Notamacropus eugenii: one gene and its partners. The protein of the gene in region 4 purifies or fractionates together with the protein of the main gene of each other region. This does not show direct contact. Links are inferred from orthologs where the notes say so. Each region holds a gene or a part of one and is shown on either strand. Other genes may lie near its edges.

Evidence for each region.
Region 1: the proteins of SRPK1 (region 4) and TOP2A fractionate together in Homo sapiens (co-fractionation; 3 studies listed by BioGRID and IntAct, with this or other methods). This does not show direct contact. The link is inferred for Notamacropus eugenii from reciprocal best matches to the Homo sapiens genes SRPK1 and TOP2A.
Region 2: the proteins of SRPK1 (region 4) and U2AF2 purify together in Homo sapiens (affinity purification with mass spectrometry; 3 studies listed by BioGRID and IntAct, counting the BioPlex papers as one, with this or other methods). This does not show direct contact. The link is inferred for Notamacropus eugenii from reciprocal best matches to the Homo sapiens genes SRPK1 and U2AF2.
Region 3: the proteins of SRPK1 (region 4) and DDX5 purify together in Homo sapiens (affinity purification with mass spectrometry; 3 studies listed by BioGRID and IntAct, with this or other methods). This does not show direct contact. The link is inferred for Notamacropus eugenii from reciprocal best matches to the Homo sapiens genes SRPK1 and DDX5.

What each region holds. Positions count from the first base shown.
Region 1 is NC_092873.1:355,954,579-355,961,769, forward strand, and holds the start of TOP2A (DNA topoisomerase 2-alpha), read right to left. Parts: upstream 3,268-7,191; 5' UTR 3,263-3,267; coding exon 3,212-3,262; intron 1-3,211. UniProt on the Homo sapiens protein: Key decatenating enzyme that alters DNA topology by binding to two double-stranded DNA molecules, generating a double-stranded break in one of the strands, passing the intact strand through the broken strand, and religating the broken strand.
Region 2 is NC_092876.1:18,155,018-18,162,692, reverse strand, and holds the start of U2AF2 (splicing factor U2AF 65 kDa subunit), read right to left. Parts: upstream 3,148-7,675; 5' UTR 3,017-3,147; coding exon 2,968-3,016; intron 1-2,967. Other genes in the region: CCDC106 (coiled-coil domain-containing protein 106), read right to left, coding at 5,263-5,579, 6,603-6,797, 6,913-7,089, 7,165-7,254, 7,391-7,465. UniProt on the Homo sapiens protein: Plays a role in pre-mRNA splicing and 3'-end processing. By recruiting PRPF19 and the PRP19C/Prp19 complex/NTC/Nineteen complex to the RNA polymerase II C-terminal domain (CTD), and thereby pre-mRNA, may couple transcription to splicing.
Region 3 is NC_092873.1:327,525,273-327,532,839, forward strand, and holds the start of DDX5 (probable ATP-dependent RNA helicase DDX5), read right to left. Parts: upstream 3,033-7,567; 5' UTR 2,341-3,032; intron 1,958-2,340; coding exon of another isoform or gene 1,936-1,957; exon of another isoform or gene 1,825-1,935; intron 1,623-1,824; exon of another isoform or gene 1,533-1,622; intron 1,479-1,532; exon of another isoform or gene 1,318-1,478; intron 995-1,317; 5' UTR 870-994; coding exon 826-869; intron 1-825. Other genes in the region: CEP95 (centrosomal protein of 95 kDa), read left to right, coding at 1,936-1,957, 3,685-3,813, 4,685-4,792. UniProt on the Homo sapiens protein: Involved in the alternative regulation of pre-mRNA splicing; its RNA helicase activity is necessary for increasing tau exon 10 inclusion and occurs in a RBM4-dependent manner. Binds to the tau pre-mRNA in the stem-loop region downstream of exon 10.
Region 4 is NC_092873.1:92,960,209-92,968,403, reverse strand, and holds the start of SRPK1 (SRSF protein kinase 1), read left to right. Parts: upstream 1-5,069; 5' UTR 5,070-5,164; coding exon 5,165-5,177; intron 5,178-5,712; coding exon 5,713-5,773; intron 5,774-8,195. UniProt on the Homo sapiens protein: Serine/arginine-rich protein-specific kinase which specifically phosphorylates its substrates at serine residues located in regions rich in arginine/serine dipeptides, known as RS domains and is involved in the phosphorylation of SR splicing factors and the regulation of splicing.

The DNA of each region.
Region 1 (7,191 bases), about 260 Mb from region 4:
CAAAGCAAAAATAAATGAATAAAATGGGGATAATAATAGCACCTGTTTCCCAGGATTCTTGTGAGGATCAAATGGGATAAAATTTGTAAAATGCTTAATACAGTGTTTGGCACATAGTAGTAGTTGTTGAGTGGTTTCAGTTGTGTCTGACTCTTCATTCAACCCATTTGGGGTTTTCTTGGCAAAGATACTGAAGTAGTTTGCCATTTCCTTCTCCAGCTCATTTGACAGATGAGGAAACAAAGACAAACAGGGTTAAGTGACTTGCCCAGGGTCACATTGCTAGGAAGTGCCTTGAACCACTCCAAGGATGGCATCATATCCACTGTACCACCTAGAGCGGGCATTGGTGCACTTGTATTCCTCAAACAAATGCTCCATCTCCCATCTCTGTCTTTTTAGCTCTACTCTCTTACTTTCTCTGGTTTCTTTGAAGACACTTTCTGCAGAAGATCTTTCAAGGTCCTTTTAGCTGCTTTTTCCCCTCGGAAATTGCCTTTCATCTAACTGTATAGATCTTGCATATATCTATTTATATGCTCTCTTTTCCCATCAGAATGTGCACTTCCTGAGGGCAGTTTTTTTGTCTTCATTTTCTCAGCATAAGCACGGTACACTGGTTCGTGCTGGTACTTAATAAATAATGGTTGCTTGACTGATTCTGTTGTAAAAGCCCAGGCTGAGCTCACAGGTCTTGAGAGACCTACGAAAGCAATGCTTAGAAAAATATACTCACTGAGGGATTGGGGTGGGGGTGGGAAAGCTTTCTTTGGTGCTGTTTCCTACAATTAGAGTGTAATTGAAGGCAGGGATTGTCTCAAGTTTTCTATTTTTTCCTATTTCCCCAGCCTAGGTACAATGCTTGGCACATAGTAAGGGATTAATAGAGGCTTCCTCTTCTCCTCAGTGAGTATCTTCCTAGAACCTCCATTTGAGGAATTTCCCAGGGCCAATTACCACTCAAGTCTCAATGAGCTCTACCCCTTACTCAACTTTTCCACCTCTGGCCATGTACCTTCCTGGTACCTTCTCTCTTCACCTTTCTCCCTCCCCAAATTTTCAGTTCCCTTTTGTGTGGTGTTTTTTTTCCCGTTAGAATGTAAGATCCTTGAGGATAGGCATTGCTCTCATATATCCAGTAGACATCTTAAACTCAACATGTCCAAAAGTGAACTCATTATCTTAACTCAAATCCTTCCCTATTCCTAATTTCCCTGAAACTGTTGAGGATACTACCATCTTCCTAGTTTTCCAGGCTTCTTAACTTTCCAGGTATCTTAACTTCTCACCATCTTTTTTTGAGGTAGTTGGGGTTAGGTGACTTGCCCAGGGTTACAGAGTTAGTATCTGAGGTCAAATTTGAACTCAAGTCCTCCCAACTCCAATACTCTATTTCATTCCCTCCCCCCTCATCTAATCTTTGCCAAGACCCATCAGTTTTATATTTGTGACATCTCTAGCATGTGCCTCCTTCTGTCCTCTGACACTGTCACTACCTTGGAAACAGGTCCTTATCACCTCAGATTTGGACTGATCAATGTCCCTGCCACAAATCTCTCAGCTGTCAATTATATGTCAAAGTGATTTCAAGTCTGATCATGTCACCCTCCAACAATCCCCCTCTAGTCTCCTATCACCTCCAGGATCAAATATAAAATGTGTGATTCAAAGCTCTTCATAACCCAATTTATCTCCGTTTATCTTTTCAATCTTCTTACACCTTATGCTCTGATCCGACCATACTCATCTTCTTGTTGTTCCTTGAATGAAAATCTCTCCATCTCCTAACTCTGGACATTTTCACTGCCTGTCCCCTTTATTCAGAAAGTTTTTCTTTCTCCTCTCTGCCTTCTGACTTTCCTGGCTTCCTTCAAGTCCCAGCAAAAAGCCCATCTTTATAGGAAGCCTTTTCTAATCCCTTTTAATTCAAATACTTTTCCTTTGTTCACTGTCCCTTATATGTCTTATCTGCACATAGATGCTTGCATTTTTCCCCCCAAGAGGGCAAAGAGTGGGGACTGTTTTTTTCCCTTTGTATTCTCAGTGCTTAACACAGTTCCTGGCATAGAAGTGCTTAATAAATTCTTTATTTGCCATCTTAACAAATGCCTTTCTGTTTATTCACCCTTATTTTTTGTCAGGGGAAATATTTGACAGAGGATTGCACTACACTCATTCTGGTGGTTTTATAAGATCCATGAGCACTTTGCTCACCCTTTATTATCATCCCTCCCTGTATCAGGCAATGTGATATGGTTAGTTGGTTGGTTGTTGTCCTTTGTTTTCGAAGAGGACCAAAATGACATCACCATGATAAAGTCAAGTTTCAACATGTTTGGCTGTGTCTGATCAGACCAATACGAGCTCTACCACAGATTGGGCACAGATAGTCTTTGTGAACATTTGAGGTGGTTACTCCAAATTTGCGCATCCTGCATTTACTTTGTGATGTTTCAATTCTGCTTTGCTCATAGAACACAGCACCTTTTCTGATGTGGGCATGCCATACTGAGAGGTCCTGTGCCAGTGTCTCCCATGTTGCACAATCAAATGTGCAATCAAAAAGGCAATGTGATATAGTGAAACCTGGAAAGCCAAGAGACCTGGGCTGTTAAGAAGTTTTGGATATTTAAGACCATTCTTACAGATGAGAAAATGGGTTGATTTCAAACACAACTCTCCGAACTTCCCTAGTGTTTTTCAACAGCAGCTCAACTTTAGACCATCCTTGCTTTCAGGTGGTATCCCTCCTCTCCCATGCTAATTTTTTGCTTAGGATTGAGTAAAACTGAAGGAAATTAGTCTCCCAATGTTCCCTCTTCATCATGTGCTGGGGAGGGAAAGGCATGATAGAATTATTTTAAAGCCAAATTTAAAAAAATCAAACCTGCTACCTCTCCCTTCTATTAAAGCAGATTCAATAAATAAATAATTAAGCACCTAAGAAGTTCCTGCAGAGATACGGCAGAATTCTCGGTTCTTATAGAGTTCACAACCTAGTTGGGGAGATGTGACTACCACTACGAGTCCTTAAGTGACATTTGATCTGATTGAAGATCTGATTGGAACAAGAAGAAAGGAGCGGCAAGGGTGTGAGTAAAGCTGCTATTACTCTTCCTTGTCCTTCTACCTTTCTTGATTTACTACTTCCTAACAATCAGACCCTCAAAAAAGAATCTTTAAAAAATAAGTGACTAACATATTCACTTGCCTTAGCCTTATTAGGATTTCTCTTCTTCCAATCACCGCAGTTATAAACCATCTCTTCCTTTGAGATGAATGTGAGAAAGGAACTATGGCATGTCACTTATGAGGCTGTATCTTCTCTGATGTCATAAAGTGGTAGTTGGGGTGGGGGCAGGGAAAGATCACATCATAACTCTATTCCAGTTTAAAGAAAGTGTGGTACAACAGTTTGGGACTAGTTAATTCCATTTCCTTTGTGTAATTAATGACATTAATTATGCTAAGGTGTCATGTGGATAAGATTTCCTGTAAGTGGGCTAGTCAATTTCATCATTCATTCATTCACTTTTATTCCTTAAGTATTTACTGAATACCACAGGTCCCAAACATTTTTGACCCCTTTACTATCCCAGATTCAGTATGGGGTATTTTGGGTGACACTTTTGCAAATATGACAACCATCCAACCCACAGACCAGGCACAAAAAATAAATTAGATGGTACAGTATTTAGTTATGATAAAATAAAAAGTAAATAAGGGAAAATTAAGTGGTAGAACCATTCTCAGCATGTCAGCACGACTCCTCCCTGCTAGCCTTCCATGCCAGCAGGAAAGGGAATATCCTCTGGAAAAAGCATATTCCTAGGAGAAGAAAGGTTGCATCTCTTTTGGAATGCCTCTCCTTTCCTCTTCTTCCCAAACTAATGTTCATTTTCTCTTCGAAGCTACTACTGACATCTGCTGGAACTGTCATCTGCTGATGCTTCTTCCAGAGAAGATAGAGTAGTCTTACAGTGCTTTGGTTTTTTGGAGGGGAGACTTTTCAAGACAACATGACTCAGGGCTAATCAATACATTCAGTTTGGCTGAAATGTTGAGTACTTGAAAAAGGAATATGTAAAATAATGTAGGTGGCAGTCAGATTTTGAGGGACTATAAATGCCAATCTAAGGAGTTTGTATTTTTCTTAGAGATGATAGAACATCACTGAAGATGTTTGGGCAGTCACCTGGTCAGACTTGCACTTTAGAAATGCTAATTTGTACTTGTGTGGAGAATGAGCTGGAGAGGGAAAAAGACTGGAAGATGGGAGAACAATTAGGAAGCTATTGCTAGAGGGTAGGAGAGGTGATGAGAGTTTGAATAAAGTGGAGAGAAGAGGTACTAATTCTGGACATGTTATAGGAGTAAAATCAACAAGACTTAGCAACTGATTGGATATGGGGGGGGTGAGGGGAAGAATCAAGGATGACTTTGACTTTGAAAATCTGGGTCATAGGAAGGATGGTGATGCCTACAAAAGAAATGGGGATGTTTGGAAGAGGAATGGGAATATAATGAATTTTATTTTGGTAATAATGGGTTTGGGATGTCCAACAGACAGTGAGCTAAGAAGGACTGGAATTCAGGAGAGGAGATTACAGCTGATTGAAGAATCATCTGCATAGAGGTGATACCTCAAGCTATGAGAACCAATGAGATCACTGATTGAATGAATATAGAGAAGAGAAGAGGTCTTGAGGAAAAATCTTGTGCTTGTGCTTGTATCCGTGTGTGTAGGAGTAAAGGAGACCGAGAAGAAGCAGGCAAATAGGTAGGGAAATGAAGACAGAACAGAGCAATGACTCGGAAGTTAGACGAGATAATATTTATAGGATCACAGAGCTTGAGAGTTGAAAGGTACCTCGGTCTCTATATAGTTCAACATATACACAAAAGGAATCCCCCACCATAACACCTCAGATAATTAATTGTTCATCGCATTTCTTGCTTGAAGATCTCCAAGCAGGAGGAACCCTTCATTTCCGGAAGCAGTGCACTCCCTTTTTGGACAATGCTAATTGCTCAAAGTTTTCCCTGATATCACAGGCTAAATCTTTACAGCTTCCATTGCTTGCTCTCTGGGGCCCAACAGAACTAGACTAGATTCTCTATATGACAACTCCTTCAAATACCTGAAGACTTTTATCATGCCCCACTGAGTCTTCTCTTCTCCAGGCTAAACGTTCCTAATTCCATTAACTGGTCTTCATATGACAAATACTGAAGGCCCTTCACCATCCTGACTTCCCTCCATTGGATATTTTCTAACCTATCAAGGTCCTTCTTAAATTATAGTGTCCAGAACTGAACATAGTATTCTAGATGAAGTCTGACAAAGGGTAGCTAGAAGGTGCAACAAATAGAGCACTGGGTCCAGAGACGGGAAGACTCATCTTTCTGAGTTCAAATCTGATCTCAGACACTTACTAGCTGTGTGATCCTGGCAAGTCATTTAATTCTGTTTGCATCAGTTTCTTGCTTTATAAAATGAGCTGGAAAAGCAACCCACTCCAGTATCTTTGCCAAGAAAATCCCAAATGGGGTCACAAAGAACAAGATGAAGTCTGACAAGAGTAGAGTGCAGTGGGACTATCACTTTCCTATTTTCCTGGAAGCTCTGTCCCTGTCAATGAAACCTGAGATTAGTTTAACTTTTTAGAAGTCTTCCATATTTCGCTATAACCTCATATTGAACTCATTGTCCAGAACTTTTTTTTTTTTTTAAAGAACGACTTTCTTAATAAACATACCTCCCCCATTTTCCACTTGTGAAATTGATTTATGGTACAATGTGAGACTTTACATTTATCACTATGGAGTTTTTTCTTTGGAATTCTGTTTCTGCCACCCAGTGTATTAACTATATTTCTTGGCTTTGTGCCTTCTTCCAATTTAATGAATTGCACCATCAAAAATGTTCAATGACACAACACCAAGCCCAGATACAAAGGAGTACCTTTGCCATATCCATATGGAACCATTGGCAATTACTTTTTGAGTTGGATCATCTGACCAGTTCTGGACAGATCTGATTGTATTGTCATTAATCCATATTTCTTCACTATAGCCACATGGATAGTATGAGGACACTTGATCAAAAGCTTTGCTAAAATCAAGGTAAACTATATTCACAGCATTCCTCTCATCTCTTATTTTAGTGTGTGTAGAGAAATGATGATACGACTTGTATTTGACTTTGTTGTTTTTGAGTGAGAGAGATCTGTGCGGGTCACCAGCCTCACTTCTCCTCCAGAGCCATCTGAATTCAGTGACCATTCATCAGAATGACTGGAGATGGCCCAGGATGAGGCAGTTGGGGTTAAGTGACTTTCCCAAGGTCACACAGCTAGTGAGTGTCAAGTGTCTGAGGTAAGATTTGAACTCAGGTCCTCCTGACTCCTGCACTGGTGCTCTATCCACTGCACCACCTAACTGCCCTCTTGTTTTAGTAATCCTGTCAAAAAAGGAAATGAGGTTAGTTTGGCATAACCTGTTCTAGAGGAAGCCACGTTGGCTCTTTATAAGGGAAAGGGAATAAGCCTTTATTAACTGCTCTACTATATGCAAGGCATTGTGCTAAGAGCTTCATGCATATGCCATGTGATCTTCACAATAACCCTGTGATATTGCTATTATCACCCTCATTTTACAGTTGAGAAGTGGAGGCAGACAGTGGCCAAGTGACTTACCCAGGGTAACAGCTTGTAAATGTTTGAGACCTTCCCAACTCCAGGCCCAGTGCTCTATCCACTTCACTATCACCATTTGTTTTCCTTTTCTAGATGTTTTTCAACCATTTTTTAAATGATTGGTTCTAGAATGTCTCCAGGAATCAAAGTCAAACTCCTTGACTTATAGATTCTGTATAGGGTATAGACTCTGTTCTCTTGCCCTCTTTTGAAAATCAAGACAACATATTCCTTTTCCAACTTCTGTCATTTCCTATGACCTTTCAGCTATCGATGATAGTGGCTCAGCAATCATACTGGACAGTTCTTCCAGGACTCAAGGATATAGTTTATCTGGTCAAGTGACTTGAATTCCATCTTTTTGCTCTAATAGAAACTTGGATTCATCAAGAAAACAGCTTCCATTCCTGTCCACTCTCTTGAGTACCAGGTTCTCCTTGTGTTCTCCCACTGATGTTCCTTTTATTTGAATGAGAAGACCCTTTAGTCCAAA
Region 2 (7,675 bases), on a different chromosome or scaffold from region 4:
TATGGAAAATGATACACTCAGAGAAAACTCAATGCAGAAACCCAGGCTGCCCAACTTTCAGAGCAGGGTCTCCTTGCACCTTAGGCCCATTTCCCCATTCTGGAAGAGATCGGAAGCAAAAACACACTGGAGATACACAAGGGCAGGGGACTCCTATCCTCCCTGTACCTCCCCTACCCAAGTACCACATGGTCCATGGCAGGGAAGGAAACTGGAAGCAGAAATGTGGCCAGAAGCATACACGGAGCAAGAGCTCTCACCAGGCAAGGAAAGAGCTCATAGTGCCAAGATACATTTGTGGCTGCTGGTAAGAGCCTGGCCAGTGGGGCAGATGGCAGATTCCCCCCATCATATGCACCCTTTCTCATTCCCTACTCCATCTTCAGGCTCTCAATCATCTTATAGCTGTTCAAAACATGCTTCTGTGTTTAAAGTGAGGAGGGGGCCATGGAGACAGTCACCCATAGATGCTTACTGAAGCATTCAAAGATCCCACCAAGATCCAAAAGTGTAGGGTCTACCTCTTCCCAAGGAGATGACTGCCCACTGTCAAATCAAACTAATTCTTCTCTTCAGGAATCCAGGATCCCAACTGGGCCCAGTCCCACCTCCCCCTGTGCCTGGAGAAACAAGGATCCAAAACTCAGTCTTATGCCCTTATGGATGGCTAGACATCATTATTTCTTACCCAGGTTCTTCTAATTCTCATCCCTTCTCTGGAGGGGATTCACTGGTATACATCCACCTCTAACCCAGTACACCAGAAAGATGGAGAGCTCAGTCATGGAGGCGGGAACCCTGGCTTCACAAGCTCAACTAGGGAGAGGAGATCACTGAACTGATCTGAGGTAAGACAACTACTGCAAACAACCCCAGGCCCCAAAGGGCTAGGATTCACATCCTCTGAAATCAGGGTGCCACAATGGTTAAGCACCATTTCTGGTTCTGACACTGATTCCAGATCACTAAGGATAATAGGCTGAAAGACAGGAGCCCTGGGTTCAAGCTTGGGCCCACTTAGTTGGGTGACCTTGGCAAAGTCCTTATCTACCTCTCTCTTCCAGGAGGATGAATCTGACGTGTGTAGAAGGTTCCTGTCAAACTTGAAAAGGACACCAGATATCATCTAGTCCATCTCCCTTATGAAAAGGAAGAGAAGTAAAGCTCAGAAAGAAATTCTCACTTGCCCAAGGTCACACAGTTAGTTAGCAGCAGAACCAGGGCTCCAACCTGGACCTTTCCTCCTTGTAAATAGATTTCCTTCTGAATGGGGCAAGTGAACTGAGGTTCCAGCTCCAACCTGGATTTGCTGTATAACCTTGGATTCTCTAGACAGCAGATTTTCCCCTCTCTAAAACATGATTGGAGGAGTATGCCTTGATTTGCTAGAAGCAGGTAATGTTGGGGGCAAAGAAACAGAACCACTAAGTTGTGGCAGCAAAGGAGATGTGAGGTCCAGCAGAAGAAACCTGTGAATTGGGGCAGAAAAAAAAGGGGAGGAAGCGGTCCTATCCTTTCCAGATTCCAGTCTCAGAGAACTGGGTCAGTAGGGTTCCAAAACTACAGAGAAGTTTGGGATACTTCCACACCCTGCTCAACAGGAGGATTTTCTTAAGGAGTCTGTTGGGGAGACTTGGATCAGAATATTTGGTTCCATTTCCCCATTCTGCCCCATGACTGCCCCTTGGACTACTTTGGACAAATCCCTTTGGTTCCTTAGGCCCTAGTTTTCTCATCTCTGCGACTGAAAGAACTTTGGACTTGTTCAAACTTGAGAAGGAGTTCATTTAGAAAGAGTACGTGCAGCGGAGAAGGGCAAAGGTGTTCCACTAGAAGTGAAGTTTTGGAAGGAGAGACCCTGACTTTAACCTGCTTCAGGGAGAGGGTAAACATGGGGACCATTTCAGGGACATCTGGAGGAAGAAGGAAAAGGCCCTCTAGAGACAGCCTGAGGTGAGGGATACTGGGTGAAGGCCTCAGATGAAGAGGGCAAGGATAAACCCCTTCTGATTGCCGGAAACAGAGAACGCCCTGAAGAAGAAGACCAACAGGAGAAAGGAGCCCCTGAGGGTCAAGAAAGGGCCGGTCGGAACCAAAACAAAGCTCGGCACAAGAAGGGGAAGGCGGGCACGGGCAGCCGCCGCTCCTCACTCACACAGGCTGCCAAGTCCACGTGTTTAGGGGCTGAGGGCCAGACCGTAAATGGTCCCAGGCCCCGACGGGGCCCTCGGGGAAGGGGTCGGGACAAAGTCGGATAATGAATTTGACCCTTCCCACGCGTTCCCCGGGGGCCCACAGGGCCTTCCAAGCTCGGGATGCCCCCCTCCAGTAGCAGGGAAGGACACTTGGCCCGGCCCCCGCCGAGGCCCCGGGGAGCCGCAAGGTCGGTGACCAGGGACCTTGGCCGGCCGGAAGCCCCAAGAGGTCTCGAAGCGCCCCCTGCCCCGAGAGTGGAAAAGGAGGTGCAGGGGTGGGAAAGGGAGACGGAACGCCAGCGAGGGCTCTGGGCCGGCGGGAGTCACGGGGGTCGATCCCGGACCAGTCCACGTCCAACTCCTCCACGTGGGGGGGAAAGCCCCCGCCGCGGCCATTTTGGGAACAAAGGGGGCGTGGAGGAGGAACGGGCCGCCACCGGAAGCGGAAGTGGGCAGCACGGAGCGAGGAGGGAGCGGGAGGGGGACCGGTCGGGGTTGGGGGGGGGCCACCCTAGCTGGTCCCGGCACTGACCAAAGTCTCCGGTCTCGGTCAAGGCCCCCCGAGCCGCGTGGGCCCGAGGCGGGCGCGCGCGAGGCGGTCACGTGCGATGCGCGGTCACATGGCGCGGCGGGAGGCGCGCGCGGGTCACGTGTAGCGCCGGACCGAGAGGGGGAGGGGGAGGCAGCCGCGCGGGCTGAGGGGAGAAGGGACCGGAGCGAGGGAAGGAAGGGAGCGCCGGAGGCCGGTAGGCCGGCCGAGGCTGGGACTCACCTTGCTTGTTCTCGTTGAGCTGCCGCTCGAACTCGTCAAAGTCGGACATGCTGAGGGGCGGCCGGCCGCAGCCCGCGCTCGCGCCTTCTCCCCCGTCCCGTCCCCCCCGCCTGGCCCGGCCTGGCCTGCCTCGCCTGCCCTCGGCGCCGCCTCGCCCACTTCCGGCGCCCGCCTCGCCCGCTTCCGGCCCCCGCGCAGGCTCCGCCCCCGGCCCCGCCTCCTACTCGCTCGAGGAGGGGCCTGAGTCCCTTCGGCTTTTTCCGGAACGCTTCGGCTGTTTCCGGCCCCCGCCCCGCTTCACCCGGCCCCAACAGACCGCGCGGTCTCTGCCTCAGCGGCTCCCGAGTTCTGGTCGGGAGGCACCCCCTCCTGTCCCGGCCCGCGAGGCCGCACAGACCCTGTCGGGGTGGCCTCGAGTTTGCCCTAGAGGTCGAACGCGGCCGGAGCCGTCGTGTTCCCCTGCTGGCCCCGGCGAACGCACGGCCCCTTCCGGCTTTCGGTTCTTTCCGGAGGCACTCGGGCCCGACTTCGGCTTTTTCCGGAGGCGCACCTCCGACTCCCGCCTCCCGGCTCCCTGCGTTTCGACTTCTTCCGGCTTGGGGCGCGGCTCGCGAGAGGAACCGAGGGCGCCGACTGGTAGGCCGCGGAACGCCGCGCCGCCGTGGAGCCTAGCTGGGGGCGGGGCTTTTGTGCGCCTGTGCGGGCCGCCCCGCGAGGCCGACCCGAACCTAAGCTACGGCTGCGCCGGAGCGAATGGACGGGGAGCCGGGCTACTGCGCAAGTGCAAAGCGGGGCCAACCAATGGGAAAAGAGGATCGAGGCTACCCCTTGCTCGTCTCCGCCCTCTCTGGCCAGCACGCACGCGCACTTGAGCCCTCCAAAGCCGACTGGCCCCGTACCCGTAAGACTGTTAGCGCGTTCTCCTTCCCTTGGCGGTCGCCTTAGAAACGGCAGCCTAAGCAGAGTCGCGCCTGCGCCATAGCCTCGGGACGGGCAAGCGCCCCGGAAGGGAGCTCCCGGCCGTCTCTCGGCTCGGTCCACTTCGCCACCCCCTCTCCCCCACAGCCAGAACCGAGGCCAAGGTTATTCCAAATCTGCTGGTTAACTTTTAATTTTAACTCTGAATACTTCATTTATCTGTTGGTCCAGGGCCGGCGGCTGGTACTCAAGGGAGGGGGCGCTCCCAGGCTCCGTTGCCCAGCGGCCGCCGGGGAGGGAAGGATCGGTCAGCCTCCGCAGAGTCCAGGCCCCATCGTCACAGACTGCGACCTCGTGGGGGCTCCTCGTCCCATCTGCTCCGCGTTCACGAGAAGGAAGAGACCCAGACTTACCCAGGGCCTCACAGCCACCTTGGATAGGATCGCACTGAACTCCCTTATTTTACAGAGAAGGAAACAGGCCTGGAGAAGGGGAGGGAAGGGAGTCACACCCAGAGTGGAGCGAGAAGCCAGGTTCTTTCAAGGGCTCCTCTGACCTCTCTCCAGAGGCAGTGATGCCCGGCCACTTGGACAGTCTGCAGAGACTCCCAAGTCTCTAGGTTTGGGGCAAGGAATAAAGGAAGCCAGGCCAGGGCAATGGGGGTGGGAAACAGATGCTGACACCACGGAAGGCAGAAGGGGGAGATGTTCGGTAAATATATACATACATACACTGCCTTCCTGTCTCCACACAAACTCCATGAGAGGGTAGCAGCAGATGAGACAGGGAGCCCACCCACCTCCACCTGGAACCACATGTAAACACATCACTCACGTGCATGCACCCACCGGCTGCAGGGGTGCTGCGGAAGGCTAGGAAAAGGGCAAGGGCAGGATCCCACCCAAGAGCTGAGCCTTTGTGGGGCTCCTGGAGGGTCGCCGTTAAGGGGGACTAGTTGTAAATGACACATCACTTGGCTCAGACATCAATAGGAGAACCATTGTGGGACATAAGGGGTCCCCTGGCGAGAAAAGGTAGCCAGGAGGCCCATTAGAGCACAGGATGCAAGCCAACCACTACCTCTGGAGGCCCCCTCAAGAGCCCAGGGAACAGGATTGTCGCTTGGAAAGAGCTGCTCCTGGAAGAAGCAGAGGAGAGTCGAGTAGTCGGACATAGGAGGGGCCACTTGAAGCAGCCAGCATCCGAAGAGAAGACAGCAGACAGCCAGTCTAGGGGGATCCATGCTGGGGTAGGCGATGGCTCCAGCTGGCTCGGCCATCCAGGCCCGAGAACACAAGACTGATGCAGGGTGGGAGGGAGAGAAGGCGGTGACAGCAGCTGGCTTGGGGAGAAGCTGGGGCAGGACAGGCGTGGGGATCACCGCTTGAAGCGGTACGTGATGGGCAGCAGCAGCTTGCTTTTCTTGAGAGCCTGTACTTTCTTCAGTGTCTCGTCGTCCAGTGCCAGGAAGCAGCGGCGGGAGTATTCCAGCAGCCGCTCTTTGGACGGATCAAACTCGCCCACCTCGGCCAGCTTCTCCGGCGCCACGATGAGCAGCTCAGCAATAGGCGTGGTCAAGGCCACCGTGTTCCGGTCCACCCGGTGGTGCTCAAAGGCCCTGGACATGCTCTTGAGCTTCTGAAAGGTGCCCAGGATCTTCTTGTAGCGGCACAGCACCCCATCAGCATCCTTCACTGTGGGCCAGGGAAAGGCTGAGCCAGTGAGAGCCCCAGAGACATGGGGACCGAGTCCAACCACCCACCCCTGCTTGGTGACACCCCAGGGGAATGGCTTGGCTTCAGATCCCAGGGCTACTGCCTGGCCTTCAGTGTTGTCCCCCTGGAAATGGGAAGGTGGGAGTGGCCTAAACAACCAGAACTGTGATGTCCCGTACAGAACACCTCCCTCCCCTGGTGCAAATTGCTTGCTTACTGCTCTCTTCCCTGGGCCTTTGAGAGGATGGCATGGCACTCTTCACCACCCTGTCCTGCCTCTCCTGCCTGGCATGAGAAGCTACAAAGTTCTGAGGCATTTTTGTCCCAATTTGACAGATGAGAGAGCTGATCCTCTCATTCCTAAGTATCTGAGGTGGGATTTGAACCCTAGTCTCTAGCCTCTGATATGAATCAGGGATGGCATCAGAACTGAACCCAAGCATCCTGACTCCCAAATATGGAGCCTCTAAGGCTTATGGCTAAGCAGAGCCTGGGAGCACGAGGAGGTTCAGGAGAATCCCACGGACTTGGCAGCCCCCTTGCCAATGCAAACCTGGCTGCCTGTGTGGGGAGCAGAGCAGACTGCCCTATTCTGGGATCCCTCACAATTCACAGGGGAGGGTCTCTGAGGGCACAGGTACCAGGTTGGCCACATGCCAGGGTCCTGCCCCCTAGGGGGTATCTTTTTTCAGCTTCACAACCCTGTTATTCCCATTTTACAGTTGAGGAAACTGAAGCAAACAGAGATAAAGTGACTTGACCAAGATCATACACTTCTGAGGCTGTATCTGAACTCAGGTCTTCCTAACTCTAGGTCCCACACTATTCCCTGTGCCAACTAGTTGCCTAGGAGTCAGAAAAGACAGGAGGCTGAGGGCTGGGCAGCCAGGTGCTAAGGATCTCACAGAGGACGGACACATGCACCCAATCTGCTAGTCCAGCATCCTTCCTCTGTCCGTATCCCTAGCAACCCCCCCACACCCGGGGGTACCTGACACTCACCCCTCTGCCTCTCCCGGGCCTTGGGCTTCCCGAATCTCCTTCGGCCAGCCGCCCCCTTCTGTTTCTGGCGCTTCCTTTCAGCAGAACCCCCCTCTTCGGAGCCAGCGCTGAGGGAGGAGGCTGCTGACTCGGGGTCTGAGGCCTCCCCAGAGCCCTCTGCCCTCCGGGGGCCAGGCTTGCCCCGACAGTGGTCCTCTGGAGATGGGAGAGAGGACAAGGAGGGCACGGGAGGGCACGGCAGGTGGGCCTGTGGGGCCCCCCCCCCGCCCAGCCCCCACCTGCGGGCCCCCCCACCTGGGCCCGGCCCTACCTGCGTCCATGCGGGCGCAGGAGATGAACTTGTCCAGCTGACAGCGCAGGAAGTCCCGCTCCTCCTCCAGATCCTCGATCCTCTTCTGCAGCCAAGAGTTCCTCTCCAGGGCCATGTGCAGCTGGGTCTTCACGCTGCTCATCAGCGCCAGGGTGGGCGACGCGGGCTCCGGGGGCTCTGAGGGGAGGGGCGAGCCGTGAGCGAGGCCGCGCCCCCCGCCCCCCCGGCCCCGCCCCCGGCCCGCAGGCTCACCCTCCAGGCCGCAGAAGATGGGGGGTGACTCCGCAGGGGGGGCCTCGTTGAACGGGACGGAGATCTCAAAGCCCTCCTCGTCCTTCTTCACTGGAAGGGAAGGGGGGGCGGGGAGAGAGCTCCCTTACTCCGAGGCCGCGGCCGCCCGGGCGCCCCCCTCCCCCGCGGGGCTCCCGAGGGCGGGGGGCTGGGCCGGGGGCCCGAGGGGAGGGGCGGGGCTGCTCACTTGTCCGCCTCCGGCCGTTCCTCTCGTTCATGACGCAGCCTCGGCCGGACTCGAGGTCCCGGCGCCTCAGGGGCACTGGAGGAAAGAGCGGCCCCGGGTGGGCTGGGGCGTGGGGGGGGCCGCGGGCCGGGCCGGGCATCCCTCCTCCCCCGCGGCAGCCTCCCCGCACACGCGTGGACCTCCGGCCCCCCCATTGTCCGACGGGACGGCGGCCGCCGGCGCATGCGCCGTGGCGGGGGAGGGGTTGCGTCCCGCGTGGGGCGCCCCCTCCGCCCCCGCCCTTTG
Region 3 (7,567 bases), about 230 Mb from region 4:
ACTAGAAGGGTGGGGAAAGGACCCAGGCTTCAAAAGGGGAGATAAAAGATCAACAATCCCATTTCTTTACACCAAGCTGTTCCCTAGAGCCGAACGTTTCCGAGCGGAAGGCAGATAACAGAAGGGCCCGAGTTCTGACAGCTCGCCACCAAACAAGGGGAGGTCCCCCGGGAGCCTCATTATGCACCCCGGTGGGTGGGCTCAAGATGAAGGTAACCGCGGTTACATAAGGCCGAGGAGGGAGGGAGGGGCCGCCCGGGTACCAGGGGAGGAGTCGCGGCCCCGGGCGGAGTCCGCCGGGCCGCGTTCCCGCTTGGGCGGCGCTTCCCCCTTTGTCTAGCATTTCACTCTGCGCCACATTTTCTCAAAGCTGCCATTTTGAGCTCCTCCGCCGGGCGGGGTAACAAAGGCGCCGCCGCCATGTCCGGGGCCGGCATTTTGTCTCGCCAGCTCCCCGACGGGGCAGAGACCGGCCGCCCCCGCGCCCGAACGGCTTCGGAACCCCCCCAAGCCAGGCTGATTAGGGGACTTTTCTGGGGCTCCCCAAATGCCGCAGACCATCCCGCCGCACTCACCCCCGCTTGACGTCGCCTTTACCTCGTCTCCCCACCTGGGGCCTGTCCCCCCAAATCACAGCCCAGACATGAAAATAAGCGGCATCACAACAGACCCTTACATCCCTTCAGCACTGAGGGACAGGGCCACTAGACGCGGACCGCCGGCGCCCGAGGCCTCCTGTCGCCGACAGGGCTCCAGCCCACTTCCTCTCGACCCCACCCCCACCCCACCCCTTCTCAGCCGCGACTGACAAATGTCCGTACTCACCCTCGATCCCGGCCGCGGTCTCTGTCGCTCGAGTATCCAGACATGGCGTCAATGGTTGCGGTTGGAGGGAAGCAACCGAGGAGAAGCGGGAAATCGCAGGGGAGGGGGGAAAGGTGGCTTCGGCGGTCGCGAGGCCGTGCGGGGGCGGGGACTGAGACGGAGGCTGCAGCTAAAACAAGAGGAACCCAAGCCGGTGGAAATGAATGAGGAGCCAGAGGGCTCCCGGCAGCCGGTTTTATACCTGGACCGCCTCCTCCGCCGCAAAGCGCGATGGGAACCGCTCTATGACCTCATCGCCCCACCCCCTTCTGGGAGGGGGAGGGGGAAGACGCTAAGGTAACAACACCCGCAGGCGTTCCGAGCGCCGCCATGTTCTAGCCTCTGGTGGCGAGCCCAGCACCCCTCCCCCACCTTAGCTCGTTATTAACTCTTAGCGGCCCACCCGCGGATGTTTCCCTTTGCTTCGCCCCTTCTCTCAGGGAACGCCCTTACATTTCACCAATTCAGGAATAGTCAACCTCACTCTTAGGTTTTCCTACGCTAAGGCAGGCCGTAAAACATTAACGTCACCACCCCAGACTAGACGTTTGCGACTCTCAAGGACCACAGTACGCGGTCAGGGAAAAGGAGGAGGCGGAGGTTCCTCCGATCACGTGAGCGTAACCCGCAGCCCACTGGGCCGGCCACTGCACTATTTATCCACTCACTTAGGCGGAGGTATACGAAAAATGTAGAGCTGGGCGGCAGGCCCCGGCACCCGGCCGGCTACCTCCCTAGGTTGAATGGTTATACTAGGTCGGCCACCGGTCTGTCTAACCGACGGAGCGGCCTGAAAAGCCTGAAGCGGGAATAATCCCGCGGGGAGTTGTAGTAGTAGCCCCTAAACCGCTGCCTGGCCGCGTGCAGCGACAGGAAGTGCACCCAGATGGCCAATCAGCAGCGAGAAGCCGTTTTAACGTCCCTCCCTCGCCTCCCCCAGTTACCTTACGGTTCTCCTCGCCCTCCCCCCCCCCGCCCCGCGTCGTCCTGCCCCGCCACACTCCTTTCCCTTAACGGTCCCTCCAGGACACCGTTCCCCGCGAGCCCCGCCGGTGTACAGCTCTCGCGGACATGGAGGCCCGGGAGGAGGCTGGTGAGTCTCCCAGCTGAAGCCGACACCCATGGGTGGCGGGGGAAGAGGAAGTGTGCACGCTGCGAATGCGCGGGGCCGCCGCTCCTCCCCTTCGCCGGCTTGCCGGCTGGCGGGTGTGAAGCGTTTTTACCTAGCCTGAAAGCGCTTTGAGCCCATGCCTCTCACCCCCAGCTGAGCTCCAGAACTCGCTCTGGGGAACCCCGGGCTCCCTGGGAGGCGTGTTCCGAGGGTGGTTTTATGTGATGTGTCCCCTGTTGGGGTTCCCCTTTCCCTCCCGAGGCGGACCTGCCAGCTGAGAGGGAGGCACCCCAGCGGGCCTAGGTCTGGGGAGCACACGCCGGGCTCCGTAGGGCAGGCGAGGAGGGAGAGCTTGGTTATCTCACCCGAAACGCTGCTCCGCAGGTCTGAGCACCACTCGGCAGCTCCTCTCACGCGTTTGTTCTTTTTGAGAAGGTAGATTTGCGCTGATTGTAGGAAGTCGTGGTTTTTGTGTTGAAGGAACCTGAACAAAATACATTTTCCGACCGGAAAGCTGTTGGTGAAAACTCCAAGTTAGGTCCCTGGTCTTCCTTTTCTAATTCCTGTTATCTACGTATTGCTTGGGTCTGGCAGCAGAACAACCAGCTCGGTTTTTCACTTAAAGCTTTACCTAGTAATGTGTTTATGGTGTGAAATATTCACGTTGAGGGTTGTCAAATTAAGTCAGCAAGCGTTGTTTTAGAGCCTTCGGTGCGCCGGGAAGTACCCCCGAACCCTGAGGGTACAAAGAAAGGCAAACCCAGCCGCTGGGTACAAAGGAGATACAGACAGGACAGACTGAAAAAGTTCAGTGAAAAGGAAAAAAAAAAACCCCGGCACTCGAGGTCTGTCTTGTAGAATGGCCAGCTTTGTGCCTTGGTTGAGTTGCTGCTGTCCAGGAGCAGACAGCTGCTTTGGGCACCGCAGTCCATTATTGTAGTAGCTTGGGAAGCTTGACCGTGGAGAGTGAGTACTGCTGGATAGGTCTCCAGTGCCAGAATGACAGGGAATTGGTTTCCTATGATGGTTATCAGTTTTACCAGAATCAGATCAATCTTAAGCACCTCCTGCGAGCTAAACGCTGAGGAAACTGACAAAGGTGAAATAACCCCTCCCCTCCCGAAGCTTGTGGAGGGAAACAACATGCACGTAACTATGTATCAATGCAAGGCAGTGTTTGACTCCAGGACACCAGCAGCAGCTTCATGGAGAAGGTGGTGGTTGCGGAGAAACTAATGGAATCATAGCTTATGTTCATCTTAGAAGGATGAAAATTATTTTGACATTCAAAAGCTCACCATTTCAAAGTTCCTGGTGTTCCATTATTTTCACATCATGAGCTGCAGTTTAAAGTTGTGATGAAGTAACATTTGGGCTCCCATACACAATCTTAAAAATGTAGTACTGATTACTTTTGATTATTTCTATTCTGTTAGTAAAAACAGTATCTCAAAAGTGGATAAATTTATAATTTACTTAAAATACTAACAAAACTAAACCTAAGTCTTTTAGGAATTTATAGTCAGAGCTGTTATTTTCAGAATAATATTTAGAGTATGACTTTTCCCTACACTTGTAAATATTTTTAGTTTAAAGACAGCTTTTTTTTGATTCCTTATCTACTTAAGTAAACAGAACTCCATACTTGATTTTTTTAGATTTGCTTTTTTCCAACTCGATAACATTTTTTTACATCTTTTTTTTTCCAGAGTGGGTATCAGTTGCCAATAACCTTCTTTTGAAGTGTCATATTTGGCTGAGGATACAGTCTCTTTCTGAGTGTGATGCAAATGTGTTTATTACTCTTTATCATTCTATCTTGGGAGAAGTAGTACCAGGTAAGAATACTAAGACATGGGGTCAGTTTATTTCCTATATTTTGTCTCCCAGGACTTTCACTGCAGTTTAGTCTTTTTGCAATTACAAAAAAGAATTCTACCTATTTGAATTGAAATGTTACATCCGTGCTGTAATGCCCTGATGACAAACACAACTTTTCCAATTCTAAATCCATGTATGGTATTCTGAAGCTTAAATACTTTGGTCACATAATGAGAAGACAGGACTCTTTGGAAAAAACCGTGATTTTGGGAAAGATTGAAGGCAAAAGGAAAAGGGAAGTCAGAAGATGAAAAGGATAGATAATGTCACAGAAACAATAAACATAAACAGACTTCAAGAAATGGTGGAGCATAGAAGGGCCTGGCATGCTATAGTCTGTGTGGTCATGAAGAATCGGACACGACTAAACAATGATGTTTTAAGTCATTTTGTCAGGATTTAATAACTGCTTAATTGCAGCTCTGCTGAATAGATACATTAAAATGGCACTGAGATTGTATAAGATCCAGTCAGCATTTAAAGGTTTAAATTTCATTTTAATTTAGGAGAAAAAAAAGCATATTTACTTGAGGGAACTGAGTTTGTTGGGTTTTTTTGCCTTTTGAAGTCTAATTGTCTTTCAGAATTTGAATTCTTTATGTCAGTATTAGTGTGCTTTTCCCACTGTTTCCTCAGTCATCTTTAACATAACTTACTGCCCATGTACAATGAATCATCATTGATTAGAGATTCTGTGGTCCTCTTCCTCTCCACCATTTCTGCTGCCACACCCCTACACTAGACCCCCTGATGACCTGGATTAGTCAACATCTTCTGAATTTGGTATTTTGCAGTTATAAAACAATGTTATTTCCCTTTCCTTCACAGACCTCATAACTGTCCCTAAGAACCAAGAAGATCATGCACACAATGTACAAGCAATTATTGATTCACTGGCCTTGGATTACTTGCAGGTCAGCTTGTCCCATATAACAGGTTAGTAACGTGAACCATCTCAAACTGAATTCAAACAATTATATTTTTCCTGAGGAAATTATTTTGTTTCTTTGGACTCTATGCGTCATTTAATTGAGCAGATGCTGAAAGGGTAAGAACACTGGATTTACAGTCAAGAGATCTGTAATTTAATGCCCCTTTGTAATTAAGCCTTGAAGTAGCAAATATTTATCAGTTTCCCGCTCAGTACCAGGCACTTGGCATTGATGTAGTTGCAGAGTGTTTTACATATATTCTCATTTGATCCTCACAACAATCCTATGATAATAATCCAAGTATTGTGGCCATGATTATACAGATGAACAGACTGAGACTTGAAGAATAGAAATGACTATTTCCTCATGATCAGACACAGGAAAACATGACAGAGGTGAATTGGAACCTGTGTCTCTTCTGAGTCCATAGGTAATACTTTTACAAAAACATACGCTCTCCCAAGCCTTCCAGCCACTATTTTCTCATCAAATCACTTAACTTCTCTGGTCTTGTTTCCTTATTGATAAGAATGAGGGAATGGGACTAGTAAATTAATTTGTTCATTTATTTTCCTTCATTTTGTTTATATTCAGACATTAAGCATCTGGTGCTTTGCTCCTTGTTAAGAATCAGAGATAGAAAGTTGAAAACACACTTCCTGCTCAGTTGGATCTTACATACTTGCAAACAAGTCACTAAGACACTAAGACAGATAACTATAATGTATTTTACTATATAAGTTCATTTAGGAGGTGCAGAATAAATGGTCAAATGGTGGTGGTTTAGGGGAGGGAAATAAGAACACTTCATAGAAGTGGCATTCAGTTGTAGAAATTCAATTAGAGAAGAGGGAAGGAGGGAATTCTAGGCTTATGAGATTGTGTGAACCAATCCAAGAAGGTGGGAAAGTTCATGGTGTGTCCAGGAGCAAAAAGTAGGTACAATCCATCTGGTTTTCCAACAGTGAGAAGTTATATGAAATAAGCTGAGTTAGTATGACATAGTTTTAATGTCACAGTTCTATTAGTCACAGTTAAGACTGGCATCTTCATCTTTCAGATGAGGAAATTGGGGCCAGAAATTAAAGGGAACTCAATTGAGAGTGTAATTACAATACACAGTATGGGATGCTGAGCAGCTAAATTGTTCTCCCCACCCTGGAAAGCAGAGACACCCTGGAGTTACTTACAATTGTGTATTCTGATAGGAAATGAAAACTATGCAATTTCTGTTTTATTGAGTGTTCAGCTTTTTTTACTCCTCATTTTTATTCCCAGGAGTTCTTCTAGGCTTCAAATTCTTGCTCTGGATGTGTAAAATAATAACCATTATCTAATGTTATTTAAAACAAAAAAATCTGCTATACCACCCATATGAGTGGTACTAAATGGAGCCTTATTCATTTTAATTATGAATAAATAAGTGAATTCTCTCAAAACCAAAACTTTCACCATTACTTCTCCTCATGTTGTTTTGTACTACTGCCAGTACTGAGATAAAAAAAAGTTTAAATGGTCTTTACACATAAAGGCTATATTTTTCATAGGCTTTTAAGTTCATTTTGTGAATTGCATTGCCAATACAGTTAAGCTCTTAACAGTTTCAATAGCGCTTAAGAAAGTCCCTCCCCTTTAGTTTCCTTGCATGTTTTTGCCTACCTGATTAGCAAAAAGTGTGAACTCTTAAGTGTGTATGAAGAAGTAACTATATGAAATCTTATCTTTCATATCCAAATAGTATTTATATGGTAAATATTTACATAGTGTTTTTCATACATTAATTCATTTGATTCACATCACATCCCTTTGAGATAAGTACTACAAGTGTTGTTATCCCCATTTTACAGATGAAGACACTGAGGCTCAGAGAGGTTAAACGATTTTTTCCATTGTCACACAGTTAGTAAGTGTCAGAAGCAGGACTTGCACCCAGGTCTTCTTTATTTCAAGTACAGCAGTCAATCAGCCAGGCTCTAGCCCAACAAATTTCTCCTGAACAAAGTAGCATCTTCATGCAGGTAGGGACCTATAAATTCAAGTAGAATGTCTCCCTCTGATAAAAATTCACTAAATGCTTTTTATCTTATTAAAAATATAACTAGAGGATGTGCCATTTCAGCCTGTCCTCTTAAAAATAAAAGGAATGTTGGCTAAATAAATGCATATAAATGTAATCAGAAAAGATGAATATGAAGAAAACCAAAGCATGGGAAAACTTGATATGAACTGATGCAAAGTGAATTAACAGAACCATAAAAGCTATGTACATAATGATTACAAGTATGTAAAAGAAAAAAACCCAGCAACATAAATTGAAAACAAATTCTGAGAATTTGAATCCAAAGGAGAAATAGGAATGCACTTCCCTCTTCTTTGCTAAGATGGAGGGTTAAGGGTATGAAACGCTCTATGTCACACTTGGTTGTTGTGCTAGTTTTACTGAACTGTTTTTTCTCCCTCTTTATTCTTTGTTACAAGGGATAGCTCTCTGAGAGAGGGAGATAGAAGTAATATGTTGAGAGATAAAGTTGATTAAAAACAATTTTTAGAAGATAATGCTAATAAATTGCAATCAGCAAGCATCTATATAGCACTTAATATTTGTTAAGCACTGAGAATACAGAGAAAGGCAAAAAACCATCCCTACTCTGAAGGAGCTAAACGATTACATTTAAAGGTTGTTGTTTTTTTCCTTACACAATAGCATTCCAGTACCCAGGTTTCTACTAGACTAGTTTAGGATTCTCTATTCTTGAATCTTTTTATGCAAGTTTGTCCA
Region 4 (8,195 bases):
AAAATGAGAATAATAATAATAGCACTGACCTTCTAGGATTGTTGTGAGGACCATATGAGGTAATATTTGTGGTGCTTAGCACTGTGCCTGGCACACAGTGGGCACTAAATAAATGCTTGTTCCTTTCCCTCTCCCAGCCTTTCAGCTCCCTTTTGTGTGCAGTGTGTAGGGAATGTAAGCTTCTTAAAGGCAGGATCAGTCTTCCTTTTTGTTTGTACTCTTACGCCCAGAGTTTAGCAAGTGCCTGGGCATGGAGCAATACTTAATTGCCTTGCCTTGACCAACCCTATAACACGAAAGCACATGACCCATTTTTATTTGTACCTTCTCAGTTTCTGGGGTCTTTATAGGGCTATTCCTCATGGCCTTCCAACATTTATTCATTCATTCATTAAATATTTATTAAGCATTTGTCTAATGAAGAGCACTGTCCTTGGTTGGCTGGTTGTTCTTCGTTCTCAAAGAGGACCAAAAGGACATCACTATGTTAGAGTCAAGTTACAATGCATCCCACTGTGGTGGATCAGACCAGTACAAGCTCAGAATGTTCTACCACAGGTTGGACATAAATAGTCTGTGTGAACATTTGGGGTGGATTCTCTGAATATGCACATCCTGCATTTCTTTTGACCTATTTCAATTCTGCTTTGCTCATAGAGCACCTATAGTACCTTCTCTGATGTGGGCACACCATGCTGAGCAGTCCTGTGCCATTGTCTCCCATGTCACAAATCAATTCCAAAGTTCTTGAGACCATGGGAATGTCCTTGTATCACTTCTTCTGACTTCTGAGTTCTCCATAAATTAAGTCTTTTTGGCAAGGGAATGTTTTGCATTTGAACAACTTGACCAGTCCACTGGAGTTGTGATTTCAGAGTTCTAGGTCCTCAAGAAATGACCAGGCCCTGCCTTCATATGCCGATTACAGTCCTATGAGGAAACATGACACGTATACAGATACAAGATAAGTGAAAGTTAAGTGTTGAATAGCCAGTGAGGGTTGGAGGAGAGGAGAGGGGAGGCAGTGGAAGGAATCAGCTAGGTTTTAAAAGAATTTACTATAGACATTTCTCTGTTCTAGAAATCTCCTGACTCTGCACTACAGCCCTCCCTCCCTTTCAGGTGCTATCACCTCACATAACAATAGGTTACATGTTACATAAGGGATCATCCCAAAAGCCTTCTTAAAGCTGCACTAAGACTTTTGGGACACTGTATATGTGCACATGCTAATCCAAGTTATGAAGCATTTTAACATTCATGGCTCACATACACTTCAATATATATCATTCATATATACACTTGATCAGTCAATCAATGAGCATTTATTAAGCACCCAATATGTAAAAAACACTGCTAATTGAGGGGAACAATACAAAAGTGAGACAGTTGTTGCCCTCAGAGAGTTTATACATTCTATGAAGGGACAGAGCCTGTATGAGGGAGTGATCATGGAAGTGAATTTAAGCCCAGGCCGTCATGCAGAGAACCATGTGGCAGTAGATTCTCATATTTTTTTTTTTGCAACATTGGTAATAATAATTTGATTACTGTTTCCTGAGCAAAAGATGAAAAACTGCTGTTTGTTGGTTTGTGTGTGAGGATGAGAATGGGGGGGTGGTTGGATTCACACACAGAGGCAGGCCAGATAACTTGATGCTGATGCTCACTAGGTCCTAGTGTGCTAGGAAAGGGCTGGATGGAACGAAACACAGCTTGACATTTCTGGGGCAACTCCTCCCAGAGCCAGTCCCCAAATGTATCGCGTTAAATACTCTGGGGTGGGGAAGGGGTCCAGGTCATGATGGAGAGTGGTAGGCGGAGGTACAGAACATGGCAAAATAGACAGACTGGCTGGGCCTTGGTGTCCTGGTTGGATGGTCGGCACCAAGACATGATCCAATCAATAAAGCAACAATTATTAAATACTTACTATGTGCCAGGAACTGTAATAAGCGTTGAGGAAACAAAAAGAGGCAAAAGCCAGCCCCTGCCCTGAAGGACTTACAATCTAAAGGGGCAGACAACATGCGAACAAATCAATACAAAGCAAATTATGTACAGGATAAACAGGAAATTATTAAAAGAGGAAAAGCACTGGAATTAAGAGAGGCTGGGAAATGCTTTGTGTAGAAGATGGGATTTCAATAGGGGCTTGTTCTTGTTCATCCTTTATTTTCCAAGAGGACCAATGACATCACAAGGTGGTGTCTTCACTTGACTCTGAATTGGGCTTAAGGGAGACAGGGTTGCCTCATTCTCTACCAGAATCGTTGAAGTCCAGTTGGGACTTAAAGGAAGCCAGGGAGGTCAGTAGTTGGAGTAAAGGAGGGAAAGACATCTGCTGATACCATTTTTCTCTCTATCAGAGGAGCTGTAGAATTTAGGATCCAATTGGACTGGGGATCCAGCATGATCTGGTACTCAGGAATATAGGTGTTTTCTTAGTATCAATAGACTGGTTGCTAGCCAGGCCTTCTGACTACTTTGGGACTTAGCTAGTCCATTCTGCATCAAGGTAAGTGAACTCCACTTTTTTTGTACTACTTTTCTCTCACAGTACTCTAACCATATAGGCTTATTCCCATTTTACAGATGAATAAACTGAGGTTAGAGAAGCTAAATGATGGCCCCCATTTAACAAGCGGCAGAATGGGGACTTGAACCTGCCATTCCTAAGTCTAAGTCTAGTATTCTTTCCATTACAGTCTCATAAGGGCTTCCACAATGAAAATAATAATAGTTAACTTTTATACAGTGTTTACTATGTGACAAGACACTGAACTAAGTACTTTACAATTATCATCCCATTTAGTCCTCACAGTAATCCCGGGAGGTAGATGCCATTATTATCCTCATTTTATATTTGAGGAAACTGAGTCAGACAGAAGTTACCTGACTTGCCCAGGGTCAAACAGCTACTAACTGTTTAAGGCTGGATTTGAACTCCGGTCTTCCTGACTCCAGGACTTGCACTCTATCCTCTGCAACATCTAGCTACCTCAAATCTGAAGAAGTCTCTAAAACAGTTGATAATCTGTTTAATTTCATTCGATTCATGAATTAATCTCATTTGAACTTCAGTAAGGGCCAATAAGGGCCAGAGCCTGAACTAATCAGAAGAAGCACCTCCACCCAACAAATATTTCCTTCTCTGAGTAAACTCAGAGAATACCTCTTCTGATGTCAACAAGACCAGATGGGGCTGACTTAAGAACATTTTTTTTTTTCTATTTATGGCCAGTAAGGATGAGACCCTTAACCCAAGACACTCTCTTAAATAATGGGACTTTTCTATATCTTAATGTTTTATGGACATATACTATGTTATAGCATGTAAATGGTAAAGAAAACACAGATATCCTGGATCATAATTTCAATTGAAACTTTGTCAACTCTCTTATTTTATTGCATTTACCATGTATTCAATTAAGAAAATTCCTTTCTCATAATATGGTTAAACATATATGGAGATCATAAATTTGAGTGACATAGGCACTCTGAGTTGGGATTGTTCTAAAATATATTTAAAGCTGGTCATTCTTTTTCAGACAGTCAGAATTCACATTTTGGCTCCTTGTACATACAAGTTCACTATCTTTGGCTAGCTTTAAAGGAATAAACGATATGAATTTACATATCACCTGGCCTGTTTGCCTCCTTTAACCAAACTTTCAGGTCGACACAGGAATAGTTTCTATATAGCATGTGAAGGTTTCCAAAGCACTTTCCTCATAAATGGTCCTGTGAGTTTGATGGTACAAGTATTGTTAGCCTTATTTTACAGATGGAGGACTTTTACCTTACTTTAACAAGTGTGGAGGTTTAAATTTCTGTAAAAAAAAGCGGAGTTCACTTATCCTGCTCCAGAATGGGACTCCAAAGTAGTATGGTGATTTCTTAGATTTAGCTCCTTCCTCTGCCACATACGAATACAGTCTGACTAGCTAATCACAACCCTATTGCGCCCTAGTCAGTTCTCCAAAATTGTCAATTGCAGAACCATTGCTACTTGTATCAGGAGAGGGAATTTTCTCACAGGGAAACATCTTAACCAATGAAATTACAGGTCTGACATCTTCCCTCTCCCTACCCCCCAAACAAGAGTGCTTCATCTTCAAAACCTCATTTTCTTCCTCTTTCTAGTCTGAAGAAGAAAACTTGCTTCCCTGAATTGTACTGAGGGTCAAATCAGATAAAGGACGTGACCGCAGCCTTGCACAAACGGGAGGTGTTATCATCCTCATCGGCTCAGCTATTTTCAGTCTCTATTGTCACGTCTACCAAATATCTCAGGCACGCCAGCCTTGGGCAAAATGGTGAAACAGGCAATGTTTGTCCTTGCTGTTGTCTCTCCAATCCCACCTTACCTTAAAGGAAAATGGATGTCAAAGGCTTCCAGGCTGAAACCTTAATTAGTAACAGAAGACGTGTGGGTCAGCACTCTCCATCAAGTCCCACCTATAAAAGGTTGCCAAATCCCTCAGGTGTGGCCAGTATTCTGCCAGGTGAAGCCCGGCCGGACTTCTGTGTTTTAGTTTTGCCCCTGCTTACCCAAGCCACACGTGCACCAAGTTACTGCCCTCATTCTGACTAGATCTAGGGCTTGCTCCATAATGCTGAGTCAGGCTCCCTTTTTCTTTTCTATTCTCCTCTCCTGATAAAATAAGAACTGGCCTTTCCGTAGCATGCCTTACTTTTTCTAAACGCAGTGACGTCTTTTCTCATTTTATCCTCACCCTTTGAGGTAGGTAGGGCCGATATTGTTTCCTGGTTACAGACGTGGAAACTGAGGCACGGCCGCCTTTGGCAGGAAAAGAGCCCCACGGCCTGACTCAGCATTATGTTGCACCCCGGTCTTTCATCCCGCATCCCCACATTCGCATCGAACCCAAGATGCTTGCTCGCTCGCGGGTTGGTGGCCTGGGAGGTGGCAGTACACGACCAAGACCACCCCTCTCCTAACCCTCATTCTCATGCTTTCCCAGCCTTTTTTTCCCCTCCCCCCCAGATAAGGAGCAGGTGGTAGGGCCCGCGCCGAGCGCGCAGGCGCAAGACGCGGAGGCGGGGCGTGCGCGGCATCGATTTCGGGCTACGGCGGGAGCAGGAGTAGCCGCCAGTCGCCCGTGGAGTGCGCAGGCGCTTGGCGGTTACCGGTCTCGCTATGGAGCGGAAAGGTGAGCTGCGGAGCGGCCTCCGACTGCCGGGGCCACGCGGGGAGCGGGGTGGGGGGAGGGCAACGGCCGCCTCGCTGGCCCAGGGTGGGGCGAGGGCAGGTCGGAGACCCCGAGCTCTCATCGGACCCCCGAAGGCCCTGTCTCGGGGCGTGCACACCCACCCCCCACCTCTCCCGGGTTCCTTGAGCTGGCGGCACCCCCTCATCCCCCCACGCCGGCCTCCCAATCCGCTCGGCGGGGTCCGGTCCCCCTCCCCCGCTCTCTACCCTCAGCCCGGCCCCGGGTCCCTGCCCTCCCCAGTCCCGTGCCCTGCATCTCCCACATGCACCAACCCGGCCTAAGACCCTTCCTCCAGCCGGGGGCCCCCTCGTGTTCCCCGTGGGCTCCGCTTCTGGCTGTGGGGGGCCGCGGCCACTCTACTGCCGGTGCGGTGCCCTCACCTGGCCGCCCTTCCCCACCCGAGACCGCGCTCCACGTCACCTGGGTCCCCACCCTTGCACCGCGCTCCCCTTTCACGAACTCCTCTCTCCCGCAGTGCTTGCGCTCCAGGCCCGAAAGAAGCGGACCAAGGCCAAGAAGGACAAAGCCCAAAGGAAGTGAGTCCTGTAAACACTCTGCCCCTCCCCGCTTCTTTCTCTCTCGCCAGCGACCTGAAATGCCGTGCGCCTGCGGCCGGGCGGCAGGCTGCCGCACATGGCCTAGCTCCGGGGCCGGGCTGCGGGCTGCCTTCTTAGGGAGCGCCGGCGGCTGTGGGAGCCAGGCTGGGGCAGACGGGATCTCTTCCCTAACTTTGACCTCCCGCCGGGAACTGGTCCTTAGTCATTCATTTCTCGGGCACCGAAATCTCTGCGAACCTGCGTGGGTCGGGCTGCTTCCCAGCGGGCCTGCCCTGGCCAGCTAGTCTTCCCCATCATTTTGCGCAGTGCCTTGGTGGAGTAGGCGGCCCCTGCGATATTTTTAGGGTGAATTGCAAGCGGGAAGATGGGATTCATCCCTTTTTGCAGGGTCTACAAAGTTGTAGAGGATGGGAAATTAACCTTTTGGAGCACCCTTCGGTGCTGGGTACATATTTTGTAAGCATCTTGAGGGCAGGGACCATCTTTGGCTTTAATGGGGCCCCTCCCCTCACCCTTTTTGTGGCTTATCTTGCAGTTTGTAGTAGAAATTAAGTATTTGTTTAGATTTTTTTTTAACTTATTCCTCAAATACAAACAAGAACAAATCACTCTAAATAGGTCAGTTATGGAAGAGGATCAAATAGGAAAGTTATTAATGACAAATTTGTGATACCGCTTTAGATGATAATTCCCCCCACACACACACTGGAATAGATAATCCTAGTTTAAATTTGACATGGGAAACCTAGAATAGAAGGGCTGCTTCTGGTATAGTGCCTACAGAAGAGGCTTATTAATGAATTGCTTTGTACTAATACTTCAACGTGAAGATCCATAAAAATCAGGTTTTAAACAATGTGTATTCAGAAAATTAGCTCTTTATCATGGTGTAGATAAATTCTTCAATATTAATTGTAGGCCTTATTATTTTCTACGTTTATCATCTTGTTTTCATTTGGGTTTTTGTTGTTTCTTTTCATTAGTAGTTTTGGGGTTTGAGGTTTTTTGTTTTGTTTTGTTTTTTGTAGACTCTGGTTTTTAGATGATGTGCTGAGAACGTATTCGAAAACTTGTCTCATTGCCTTCTTTAATAACAGGAGCACAAAGATGCCTTCAGAAGCCCCCTCCCTCCCCCCCATTTTTTTCTTTTTGGAAGCAAGCAGCAACTTCCACTTTTTAATTTGGTGTAGCTGGGTCATAATGATAGTAATCTTAATCTCTTTGTTTTGCTTGGCTTTAAGTACTCAACTTAAGGAGTATTTTCATTTTCCTTTGTGAAGTGCTTTAACTTATTAACACATTGTATACATGCATTTAAATTTGATCCACAAATGAATTATCAGAAACTATTTTTTTAATCAAATTGAATAGAATAAGGTTGCTGGCACTAGCTGCTGCAGTATGAGTAGGCAAAGCATTTAACCATTCCATGTGTTAGTTTTCCAAAATCTAAATGGGGATGATAATAGCCATCATAGATACTAACGAGTTATGAGGTAAAGAGAATATGATACCTATGAATTAATCAATTCACCAAGCATTTATTAAGTGCTTACTATTTGCCAGGACTCTGTGCTGGAGATACCAAGGAAAAATAAAACCAGCCTCAGCCGTCGAGGAGCTTATGTTATTTTTGCAAGTTAGAAGACATGTAGTAGTTATAACATTCTGGTATTGTTATTCCCCTTTCTACCCAGACCATATGTGTACACCCGAGCTTCAATATTTATTTGAATTCATTTATTTTTTGCTTACTCTTTAAATACATTCAAGTCCAAATAACTTCATACAGGTCAGTTCTGGGCTTGAACTTCTCTCTCAGTTGATATATGGTCCTGAGTTACAGACTAATTTTAATATCAGCCTGAAAGAAATGTAATTTAATATATATTCCACATGCTAATATGTATTATCTTGGTATTGTCTTCTTATATAGTTATCTCATTGTTGTATATTGGTATAGGCAAACTCTAGGGTTAATTCTACATAGATAGCAATTATTTGCTTTTGATACAGGACCGTAAATTCCTTCAAGTCAGAGGCCCTGTCTTACCTTTGTAGCTTCTCGAAGCCTACATAGTGCCCTAATAAAAGAGTATACAGTAGTCAGTTAAGTTGAATCTATGGGGGAAAAAGTAGTATAGTTAATCCAGTAATTATTTTGGTACTTTGTTTTATAAAAAGGTGTGTATAAGTGCCATCACTTACTGATTTAATTTAGTGTCAGAAAATTTTGAAAATTTTCATTTGTAATTTCTCTTTACTTGCTAGATATTCCTATCAGTTAAGCTTTACGTTTTTGTTTCCTCAGTTTTTCTAAGTAGTGATATTGGTATTTGGTCTGCATTCTTGGCTCCCTCCAGCTCTATTCTACAGGCTACATGTATGCAAAGGTTTGGTA